Linked DNA regions of Neurospora crassa OR74A. The protein of the gene in region 1 purifies or fractionates together with the protein of each later gene. This does not show direct contact. Links are inferred from orthologs where the notes say so. Each region holds a gene or a part of one and is shown on either strand. Other genes may lie near its edges. The genes, in order: NCU01188, scon-2 and scon-3.

Region 1 (3,954 bases):
GTGGAGGTGGGAGTGGGAGGCCAAGAAGGGATCGGAGCACGCGTTTGTGTATAATTTCAGGACGGGGAGGTGCATCTATTACGACTTGTCGGCTTGATCGGGTCGGCAGGGTATTGAAGCCCTGGGGAGGTGCCTAGCTGGGTAGGATACGTTGGCGATGGTGGGTTGGATGTGTGTATAATAGGTATACAGTTGTAAGGCTAGTAATCCCACCCGAAGGCATCACTGCTCTTTCAAATCGTCCGATGTTCCTCTTGCTTTTCGTCTATGGTGATCCCCTGAAACACCAACTCAACCTGAGTCAGCCTCCTATACAGAACCCTAACCCTTCTGTCACAAGTGAAACGCCCAACCATCTCACTACGGGAAGATCACCCTGCTGGCCAACAAGAAGTTCGTTCGCACACAAGAAGCCAGGAAGAAGACCGATTGCGGAGGAACTGACCATCAAGGTCCTTGCCTACTGTTACCCACCGGATCTTCTAACTGCCTGGCACGGACGTTTCCCATCCATGGTTTACGAGAAAATGGGAACCGCTGCCAGTATGCAAACGAATCGATCCATCTTCTTCCCTCATGTTGGGCAACACGTTACCTGTACCTACTCTTATTTACAGCAAAGTGTTGTGAATGACGGGTATATGATGCTTGGAAACAGATGCGAATGTGGATTCGATTTAAGGCATCGATCATTTGTTGTCTGGGCAGTCAACAGGACAACATGGAACTGCGTCACTTCTTTGTAGCTTCAGTGGACCGTGACGGGATCTAGTGTACTTGGGAAATTGTTAGTGCATCCTCTGAAACATCCGATAACTGCAATTCTGACCACCACCAATATGCCCTATCACCATGGGATGCTCATTTGTCAGTGGCAAAGGAACTGCACCGTCGTGTCGTCCCGTCTCCTTGCGGGTAGATTGTACATGATTGTCTGATGGGCCCCCCCTTTGCCAGAGAAAAAAAAAAAAAAAAAGGCCGTTCTGGGAGGTTCCGCCTGCTTTGTAAAGGTTGACGGGCAATTACAATACGATAATATGGAAGGGCGGGGATTACGGCCTCCCTCCTTTGACGATACTCCTGTCAGGTGTATTGGTCTTATGTAGAGGTAGGTACCTATGCCGAGAGCCCGAGACCGCCATTGTGCAGCGGTGTTGACCACCATTAACAAACGTAAGGCGAGACATGCAGTTGTTAGGATTCCTCAGTGCCTCGCTCAGCTCGGCTGCTGCACCACCATGGGAGAAGGAAGTTGGGCAATGACGGGACCATCACAAATGGTCTGGGTCGGTTGCTTCGTGTAGACTTAGGTTAAGTTGAGAGTGCGTGCTAGAGACTGCCCAACCTTCTATCCGGGTCCTCGCTCCGAGGAACCCAAGGGAAGCGTGACCCTGCCATGATTCCATCGCTCACATCGTAGTAGTGTAGTTCACACACCTTTTCCTGATCCGGTTGTGACGTTCGTACGCCCTTCCACTTTTCCTCCCGTCTGACCCTGCTTTCTCCTGACTCGCAACCTCTCTATTGTTCCAGATTGTCACCGCCCAGCCCTTGATTTCCAACCCACTTCCCAAAGACCACCATCGTGACAAACCGTGAACTTCTATCCCGACCGTCCGTGCTTCCATAGAGTCTGTTCCCATTGTTTGGTTATCGTTATCATTCCATCCCTCTTCAAAAGATCAATACCCACCCCGGCCTTCACCACCGACCGTCTAACAATCTTCCCCAAACACCCGCCCGCCTCTTGCCAACATCCCCTCAAACTACAAATACCACCATTTTCCTCTCGAGGCCCCCGATCTTGCGCACGAGAGGGATCTTCGTCAGCACTTTACGTGTCGATCCCTTGACGAGCCACCACAACATATCTACTTCACCACCACCGCCACCACCAACGAAGTAAAGTGGGCTTTTCCAGCGGCAGCCCATTCTTTCTTTTGTCAACCTCCGCCACCGGCACCTCGCCTTCACTTCCGTAACCACATTTTGCCATGTCGTACAGGACAACAGCGTCGGGCGCTACAACGCGCCTGATGAGTGAGATGAAGGCGCTACGAAAGGAGAAGTGGATTCACTTTGAAGATGTACGTCCTAGTACCGTTCGTTTTTTCTCCTTTGCCGGTCTGTCGTTCGCGGGCGCAGTACCGGCACGTCGATTCTAGTATCACTATACCTTCACTACGGAACCTAGACTGACCCTCACTTCTTTGGCGCAAACAGGACGATTCTGCGACCCTCAACATCCTCAAGTGGCGCTTCGGCCTCATGGTCATCAACCCCGACAGCGCCTTTAACGGGGGGTACTTCAGGGCCGAGATGGTATTTTCGGACGAATACCCCTACCAGCCGCCCAAGTTCCGCTTCCTGATCCCCATCACCCACCCCAATGTGTATCCGGACGGCCAGCTCTGCATCTCGATCCTGCACACACCCGGCGAGGACCTCATGTCTGGCGAGCAGGCTAGCGAGCGTTGGTCGCCGCTCCAGGGCGCCGAGAGTGTGCTGAGGTCGGTTCTGTTGCTGCTGGACGACCCTGAAATCAATAGCCCCGCCAACGTGGACGCGGGCGTCATGTACCGCGACCGCCGAGAGGATTACAACAAGAAGGCCCGGGAAACGGTGGAGAGATCAAAGAAGGATATCCCGCCAGGATTCGAGATGCCGGTCAGCTTTGAGGAAAAGCCGCCTCCGAAGGCCGAGAACGACGACGATTTTTGGGCCGAGTCGGATGAGGAGTTTGACTTTGGTGGTAGTGACACCGGGGATGACGACGAGATGGAGGACTTTGAGGACGGGGAGGAAGGGAGCGAGGATGACGACGACGATTCCAACTCCAAGCAATAGAAGGACTTGCTTGCTTACTTGCTTGTTGTTCCTTCAACAGCAGCAGCAACCGTTTTTATCGCCGTTGTCAAGCTGGGCTGGGTCTGGTTCGGGTCAGGATGGTGATGATATACCTTTCTCTTTCTTATTCTTGTTCTGCTTCAACCCGTCATATTTGCATAGCGTCGGGGACACTCGCGGTGTGTTTGGGCGTTTTCGTGGTCTCCCAAGCAGGCATATCTGGTGGGAATTTCATTGGTCGCTTTTTTTTTTTCTTTTTTTTTTTTACATACAGAGACACACCGTCACCCAAGTACTTGCCTATCCTCAGCCACAATGTTCTTGCACAGCGGAAGACATTGGCAAAGACGGGAAGCGGTCTGGCTTCATAGTAACATAGAATACATTTAGCGGAAACGTCTAGACTAGAGCTATAGACTCAACTTTCGTTTTCATGGAGCGATGAGCGGATGTAGCCCCGCGATGGCATCGCTGAGTTCAGAGAGCCGAATAGCCCGTCTGGAGCCCGTGCACGATGTCAGAGCCCAAGACCTCCGTCCCTTGACACATAACAGTGAAGAGGGGCCCGGGCCTTGGGGATGTCCCCTCAGCGACCGAGCAGTTGACCTCCGAAGCCCCTCCATCATCCCCTCATGAGATACCCATTTCTGTACAGCAAGTGAAATTTGTGAGCAGGCCGAAACCGATGAGAAACCGAAGGATACCTGCCCGACGCTCCAAGATCATCATGATGCATCTCTTCTTTGGCTTTTGTTGTCATCGTCCACGTTTACCCCGGCCCTCAGCCAAAACCTAACGGAGTGCCTCAATACCTTTCCCCCCATTCCCCGCAGTTTTTGCCATCAATCAAAAGCTGCCCCTGCCGCCTTGTTTGTGTACCTACTGTACATAGTACGTACAGGGCTCGGGTACCTCATCAAGCAGCTCTTGCATTTCATTGTCTGACAACGTAAAGGCAAACAACATCCCAATCTGGCTTCCCATCATCTCGTTCGCCCTGTCTTCGTCCAAACAGCAACAACAACAATAACAACAAAAAGTAAAAGCAGGGCTATCCTTCGCCCACTTCATCCTTTTCGCTCTTAAAGCCAGCAAAGTAGCTCGACA
Region 2 (4,083 bases), on another chromosome or scaffold:
GGTCAGATGTTTATCAGTGAAATGTTTCGTCACAAGAAGATGATGGGAAGTTATGGTGGTCAAGGTATCTTGTCCCAAAACGTGTGCCATCATATCCAAGACAAGCGTGGTGTGTAGCTGATATAGAATGATGTCTTTGGTGTAGCTCGACGTGCGTTTATCGAGACATTGCGACGAGAAAACACAGCACCAGAATTGTTTGCATCACGGAGGGAGAGATTTAGAGTACATTGATACAAGGTCTGAACTTACAGTGCTTATCAGGCATGGCTAGATATTATCCCTGGAGCTCCGTCAGCCTGTTTCGACATCCACAAGCCGACATGGGCTTAGGCCTTTTAAAACCCCTCGAATGTCTGGAAAGCTTCCATCATGATGAAAACGGAAGCCAGACTTGGTCACCCCGCAAAATTCCCCAGGAAAGCAACCTTGTCGTGGGTCAACATGATGGAAAGAGGCAGAAGATGCTATTCCGAGAACACCGAGGTCGAGATTGAAGCCAGAATGGAAATGTCCGTGCCGCTGACCACGGCCCGGACTGTCTCACGATGTTTATCGGGTGGATATCACGACATGGTGCCTGGATGGGATGTTGACATGCACGGGGGAGACGGGAAGGACGGGATATGTAGATAGCGTCCATTCAAGTTGGGTTAAATGGAGACGACGCTCCACATCAAGCTGTCGTCAACAGTGCGATTGGGATTGTGTGGTCTCTGGGGACTGTGGCCGCAGTGACGTTGATGTCCGTCTTCGGAGTCCTTCCTGTCGACGACATGAAGCCGCTCCAAGGTCAGTCAAGCTGAGACGGTCGAGTGATTCAAGACGACGACGGGAGGCATGCTGTGGTCAGGTTGACAGAGGAAAAGAGAGAAAGTTGATAAAATTCAAAGTCGCCATATTAGAAATCCATGCACTTGGTGGCGAAACAACAGTCTGCTTATTTTGTTTTAATAATCGTGAGACATGTGTCGTGGTGTTGATGCTGAACCTCCAATTAGGGACCTGGCTATGGCACGTGACTGGCACTGGCATCATTGAATTGAGCTACGGAGTCTTGACTGTTAGATACTTGCTGTACTGCTTTGCATAGAGTATAACAGCCAGTACATCCCCGCATTTTACAGTGGGCCCGGTGATGTCGCAATTCTGGCGACAAAGCAACAAAGCGAAAAAAACGAGGATGGGTGACTCCACTCTGTACCTGGGAGCTTCCCGCGCCCCACCCCAGTTGATTTCGCCATTTTGCCCTTCTCTTTGCGATCAAGAGCGACGGCCAATCTTGTCTCTTTCCGTCTGCAACATTTCACAGTCACACACACACAGAGAGAAGGAGCAACGAAGTCAAGACACATCCGATTTCAGGCGGTGTGAAGCAACAGCTGAGGTTCAACACCCCGTTGCGATACTGCCCGAGACTTCCACTTTGCCATTTTGGAAAGAGTGCTCTCTCTAAGGTAGTATACCTCATCCATTCCATCCGTCACCGACAGGCGACAGCCGTTCCAGAGCTGTCACTTACCTGGTATTCGGTTACATACCTACCTCTACGCTACTGTACAAAGAGGGAGCACGGGCACTCGTACCCGACACCTACAGTAGCTTCCTTCAAAGAGCAAGAGAGCAGTCACATACCTACTAGCTGCCCAGACTGAAAGGAAGAGACAGCAAGGCACCGAAAGCCGGAGAGACTAGAAGTTTGAGACATTCCACTTGGACAACAGAAGTGGAACAAGTGAACCTGGAAATAGGTCAGCAGCGGTCATCATCATCACAGTACGTAAACCACCAAAAAAGACCCTTTAAACACTTTGACTCGGATCGATGGCGACCAAGGTGCTGTGCATTGCGTGAGGTGCCACCTTGTCCCGTCCACATCCTCGCTGCTCCCGTCCTAGGTCATCCTCCAACAGACATCGATTCCTCCTTAACGTGATTGCCCTCCAAACTGCAGCTATACTGCGCTGCACCAGATAAGAGTGCACTAACACTTACACCGCACCAATAACAACAGGTCCAACAACGTGCCCACCTCCACGGCAGGGAATCAATCCTTCAACGGTCCCTCTTTCATCTCAGCTGAGCTCTTCCTGATCGCCTCCAGTCCTCCTCCCTCCCCGGGGCTCCATCTCCAATCCTCCGCCAACAACATCCAGATCCCATCACGTGTCCATCCATCCAGAAACATCAAGATCGCCAGTTGGGCTGCCCGGCATCACATCGCTGCTGTTTGTTGTCTGCGGGACCCTGCCTTCCTTCTGCTCCTCCTCCAGCTTCATCTAGACCTGCCCAACGGTGGAGCGAGTCTGGATTCCGCATTAACGAGATTGGACCTTTGAGACGGTAGACCGCCCAAACATCGACCACACCAGGGCATCCATCCATACACCTCACATCAACCAGCCCGATCACGCAAGACCACATACCCTTTCCCGCCCCAGCCTGACCGACGGGAGTACCTACTACTAGTACATACCTTGGACTGGACAGGACTGGACAGGCAGGACAGTAGTGTACAGGACAGCACTGCGATACATACAGCAGCAATCTGCGTCCCCTGGTCAGCACGCCATCCATCGCCCTCTAGCCGACCAATGCTTGGTGTTGCCTCTTCCGCCATTCAACAACAGAACCACGCAACCGCAAACGCACTCTAAATTCCCCCTCAGAACGCACAATCGCAGCGTCATTCTGGGCCCGGCGGTCCTCGACTCCCCCTTCTCCCAATGGATTCCTACCACCTCGCCCCGTCTCGTCCGACTGCGAGCTTCGGACATGATAATGACGCCCCGCTCCAACATGGGCCTCTAGTGAACTCCTACTCTCATCACCATAACAACCACTCGCGCGACACCGACTCCGATCCCACCGACCAAAACTGCGACCGCAAACGACCCGAGCAACAGGCAAGGTTGCGCTCCCGCAACAGCGTCACCAACATGTCGTCCGTCCTCATGAGCAAGACTGTCACGCCTTTCCTTCGGGAACACATTCCCAGCATCTACGCCCCCATCGGCAAGCCGGGGAACCAAGAGACGGCCAGAGCAGAGAACCCCAATTCCAAGTACTGCTATAGACACCACCCCGACTCAAAGTGCCGAAGGGCTGCCGACAAGGCCAAGATGGTCATGATTCAGAGCGAGCTAGACAAGCTCACATCAGCGGTGGGTCTTCATACAAAACATAAACATTGATTGCTTCTTGTCTCCAAGGTTTGGTGGACTGACTGGTACCTTGCTTGAAATAATAGGATCAGCAAGCTGTGACCCACGTGTGGTCCCTGTTCTCGGCCGCCCCTGCCCGACATCGCGACCTGATGCTTCAGGGTATCCTCTCCCAGCTCTGCTTCCCCCAGCTCTCCTTCGTCTCGAGAGAAGTCAACGAAGCCCTCAAGATCGACTTCATCTCCGCCCTCCCCGTCGAGCTCGCCCAAAAGGTCTTATGCTATCTCGACACCGTCAGCTTGACCAAGGCCGCCCAGGTCAGCCAGAGGTGGCGAACCCTGGCCGACTCGGATGCCGTCTGGGTCCGCATGTGCGAGCAACACGTCAACAGGAAGTGCACAAAGTGTGGATGGGGATTGCCCTTGCTGGAACGCAAGAAGCTGCGCAACTACACCAGACAAAGACAGCTGGCCAAGGGTGGGCCACAAGGGAGGGTCACAGAACTGGCCGACTCCCACGACAGCCAGGATCGATCCGTCAATCAACATGGAAAGCGCCCGGCAGCAGAGGCGGAGGAAGAGGACCCCATCAAGAAGCGCCAGTGTATGGCTGCAGCAGAAGCCTCCAAGGCGGTAACGCAACCCAAGACCCGAAGCTGGAAGGCCGTCTACCGGGATCGCTGGCAGGTCAGCTACAACTGGAAAAACAGCCGATACAAGTTGTCGGTTCTCAAGGGTCATGAGAATGGTGTCACATGTCTCCAGCTCGATGATAACATCCTTGCGACTGGATCGTACGACACCACTATCAAGATCTGTATGTGGTCTTGCTTCTTTAAACATTGGTGCTCGCTTTAAACTAACACATTGCTGACAGGGAACATTGAGACTGAGGAGTGCATTCGGACCCTTGTCGGCCA
Region 3 (3,770 bases), on another chromosome or scaffold:
TCTTGCATCTGGCCCGGCGTAAGGCTATCTTTTTTTTTTTTTTTCTTTTGGAGGGAGTGTATATGGTGAAAGTGCATCGCCTTATGACTAGAAAGGTGACCAACTATTTCTTGGAAGAATTTTCGAAAATGACCGGCTGTGGTTAACAGACTTTGGCCTAGTTCTGACTGTAGGATGTTAGCAAATGGGAATATAGATCAGATGCCTTAGAACCATGCCCTAAGTGGTTAAGTAGTCTAGATATAGGGAGAAGGGGTAGTCTGTCTATAGCCCGCCTCCGCATTCGGGCCAGTCGGCAGGCTCGTTGGCGTCGTTGGCGCGAGTCTAGGTACTTTGGTAATTTCCTCCCGCACGGGTGCAGCAACTGGTCGATCTGCGCGAGCCGGACCATGGATGAATGACGAGTTACATAGTATGTATGTACAGCTTTATTTGTACCTATATTCGCGCCGGGACACAGCTTTGGAATCTTGACATTTCGCCTTCGTGATCTGAATGTACATCATACTGCGATACGGACAGATGGTAAGCAAAAGATGTCCTGGTCTGTTAGTGTGAAATAAATCTCCAGCAAAGCGGCCTTGAATATTGATAGGCCCTCATGTTGACCCCTTGTCCTTCCTCCCACGGAAGTTTGATTTTCTGTGCTCGTTGGACGGGAGGTACCGCAGCTTTTGTCACATTCAAGCTGCATTCCTTTACTTGACAATCCGTATCAATGATGCAAGATAGCAACAAAAGCCAGAGTAGCAGAGGACAATTTTGGGTACCATTATGTAGTTGTCCATCATGTATATACTTCATCTAGGAGCTTTTCCAACTGAAGCTATTGACATCCCGACATCCAACTTACAAGCGTGGGTAAAATCTACCGGGCGTGCGGGCGTATCATCCTAAGCCGGAACATACATAGTGAATATAAAGCATCTGGAAAAACGCATAGTCCCCGTGTGGGAAACCGCATGTAGTCAGCTGTCAATGAACCTAATTCGTGTGTACGTGGAATGTGCCGGTCTTTGATTATTTTTACTATCCAATGCAATGCTTTGTGTATATTGCAAGCATGAAGACATCTGTAGCTTCGAATGTCCCCAGATCACGCCAACGACGGTCCCCACATCGTCTCTTCGTGACTCAAAATACTACATCTAATCACTGGTGTGCAAATGTCCCATCGTTCCGTTGATGGGAGCTGCGTGGTGCCAAAGGTTAGTACATGGAACGGCACGTGAACGGTCAGGTTCTCTCTCCAGAGCGTTTCTGCGTCTTCCGTGTTGGAGCAAGTCCATCCGTCTCTCCAGGCAGGGCCTGGGCACTGACCACCCAACCCCATTATATTTCAACCCAAGAAGGCTGACGAGCTGAGGGGCCGCGCCAGGATTGCTAGGTGGTCTATGCACGCACTTTACGTGCGCGCAATTGGACTGCGTGCAGCGGGCTCCACAAAATGAAGGCAGAGGCGATTCGTTTGTTGGAAGGACCGACTGCGCCCGCCAACGGGCACTCACGCGGACCTCCGTCTGTACTTTCATCACTAGCCCAAGCAAACTACAGGCAACCTTTCACGGGGAAACCATAAGAACCACGCACTGCAGCCAGTTAATCACACCGCGTGCGTTCCTTCTCTCATTATTGCCAAACCTCCTGCAACTCAGAGCAAGGTCACTTTTACATTTGAGCTTGAATTTGCGCAAACAGGTAACTATATGACAACACCGTCTCCCACTTTTTCCCCCACAATTGAACTATCCCCTCTCTGCATCATTTACACCACCAGCATCAATCACATAGACAGCCAACTCAACCCATCAACATCCATCGACGTATCTTCTAACGTCAAGACTACGACTACAGACATTCAACATGGCGGAGAACGACGAACGTGCCCTCCAGAAGGTATCTCTCCAGAGCAACGATGGCCAAATCATCACCGTCGGTGAGTAGAATCACCCCGCCACCCGGCCTGTCTCCTTTTCTTTCCCTGCGACTGCAGCCGACTAACTGGCGTCAAACACAGATCGTGTTGTTGCCGAGCGATCCCTTCTCATCAAGAACCTGATTGAGGATTTGGGCGACGAGGCTGTTATGAACGAGGCTATTCCCCTACCAAACGTCAACGAGCCTGTCCTCCGAAAGGTTGTCGAGTGGTGCGAGCACCACCGCAAGGACCCGCCCCAGACTACCGAGGACGAGAACGACAGCCGTAAGAAGAGCACGGAGATCGACGAATGGGACCAGAAGTTCATGCAGGTTGACCAGGAGATGCTCTTCGAGATCATTCTCGTAGGTTTCTCCCTCGTTCTACCCGCCGATGCTACTTGATATGCAAACATCACTCGGGTTCTGCAGGGTCAGATCATGCTAACATATTCCTCATCCAGGCTGCCAACTACATGGACATCAAGCCCCTCCTTGATGTTGGATGCAAGACCGTTGCCAACATGATCAAGGGCAAGTCCCCTGAGGAGATTCGAAAGACGTTCAATATCACAAATGATTTCACTCCAGAGGAGGAGGAGCAGATTCGCCGCGAGAACGAATGGGCGGAAGACCGTTAGCCGATCAAGACCAGTTTCCACGTCAAGTCACTTTGCAACGCCGGGATCACCGTCTGCCAACGACAGAGGTTACCCCTGTGCTTCGTCTACCGGAACGCACACTTTAGCCGAGTTTGATGGATATGGGGAGAGCTGTTATGTTGGGAGATGGATATCAAACACATCTCGTGTTATCGACAGCATTTCGACGACGACGTGATACGGTTTGGGCATTCCTGGGAGGGCCACAAACGAAGCTCTTCCACTCAGTACGTTCGATCGTACCTTTGCGTTGGCAGGCGTTTAGAGGCGTTGTTCTCTAGCTTTTTTCTACGGCTCCTTGTTTTCTTAGGCTGAATCGAGGGTTTTCTTATGATGATACAGTTTGTGAATCAGGTCCTTACGTGTCTGAGAACGTCCTCACCGTAAAGGCCGACAACGTCGTCACGATTCTGTTCCGTGTTGTTGCCATGATGGCCCCCTTTACCACCAACATACTCTACATATTGGCACCTCGTATTCGCTTAATACGCCCATCATGTGAACTGTAGTCTAATGATAGCAACAACGACCCTCTGTTTCGTGGCAGCTATTCATGGTTCAAGGCGCGGAGTCACCAGGAAGAAATGGGCCTTAGAGTAGGGGAAAGAAAAGTCAGCCAACATCCACACTACCCTCCATTGTTCCATGCTAGAGCGCTCCCGGTAAAACAGGTAGGTACAGAAACCGCCCTTTTCACTGACAATTTGGCGTTTTGAACTCAACCATGGCCAGGCGCAAGGATGGCATGGAGTTGCCCATGCACACAAACAACATACTAATGGTCCAGATTGCAGAGAGACTAGGAGGGAGCTTACCCAAGTTGTATATCATGGCTCATTTTTACTCGCTTTATACAAGCCAAGGGTACAGAAGTCGTTGATGGAACGTAGGCGGGCTGATTTGGACATTGCCCACGTCTTTTGATCAAGCCCCCTCGGTGTCACAGACCTTGATATAATGCGCACACGACATGGTACATAGACCGATTTTGTAGCACAGTTCCGAGAACATGGGTAGAACAAATATGGGAATCAACTCTCGTGCACCACGTTTTCTCTCATTTCAGATCCTAATTCCCCCAGTAACCGTCCTTCTAAATGTTTGCCGTGAAAGCATAGTACTCCGAAAGTTTACGTTCCCCCAAAACAAGGATCGAGTTCCAGGATATTTCCCCCCGCCGAAAGAACACAG

Evidence for each region.
Region 2: the proteins of NCU01188 (region 1) and scon-2 purify together in Saccharomyces cerevisiae (affinity purification with mass spectrometry; 3 studies listed by BioGRID, with this or other methods). This does not show direct contact. The link is inferred for Neurospora crassa OR74A from reciprocal best matches to the Saccharomyces cerevisiae genes CDC34 and MET30.
Region 3: the proteins of NCU01188 (region 1) and scon-3 purify together in Saccharomyces cerevisiae (affinity purification with western blotting; 4 studies listed by BioGRID, with this or other methods). This does not show direct contact. The link is inferred for Neurospora crassa OR74A from reciprocal best matches to the Saccharomyces cerevisiae genes CDC34 and SKP1.

The regions. Positions count from the first base shown.
Region 1 is NC_026505.1:3,174,797-3,178,750, forward strand, and holds NCU01188 (ubiquitin conjugating enzyme), read left to right. Parts: upstream 1-1,495; 5' UTR 1,496-1,994; coding exon 1,995-2,087; intron 2,088-2,223; coding exon 2,224-2,847; 3' UTR 2,848-3,454; downstream 3,455-3,954. Other genes in the region: cpc-3 protein, read left to right, coding at 1-97. UniProt on the Saccharomyces cerevisiae protein: Catalyzes the covalent attachment of ubiquitin to other proteins. Capable, in vitro, to ubiquitinate histone H2A. Mediates the initiation of DNA replication (transition of G1 to S phase in cell cycle).
Region 2 is NC_026503.1:4,896,999-4,901,081, forward strand, and holds the start of scon-2 (sulfur controller-2 protein), read left to right. Parts: upstream 1-1,255; 5' UTR 1,256-1,776; intron 1,777-2,014; 5' UTR 2,015-2,726; coding exon 2,727-3,164; intron 3,165-3,250; coding exon 3,251-3,980; intron 3,981-4,040; coding exon 4,041-4,083. UniProt on the Saccharomyces cerevisiae protein: Substrate-recognition component of the SCF(Met30) complex, an E3 ubiquitin ligase complex that mediates the ubiquitination and subsequent proteasomal degradation of target proteins. Negatively regulates sulfur amino acids biosynthesis genes expression.
Region 3 is NC_026503.1:4,148,581-4,152,350, reverse strand, and holds scon-3 (sulfur control-3 protein), read left to right. Parts: upstream 1-1,491; 5' UTR 1,492-1,698; exon of another isoform or gene 1,699-1,854; 5' UTR 1,855-1,863; coding exon 1,864-1,936; intron 1,937-2,017; coding exon 2,018-2,283; intron 2,284-2,381; coding exon 2,382-2,558; 3' UTR 2,559-3,220; downstream 3,221-3,770.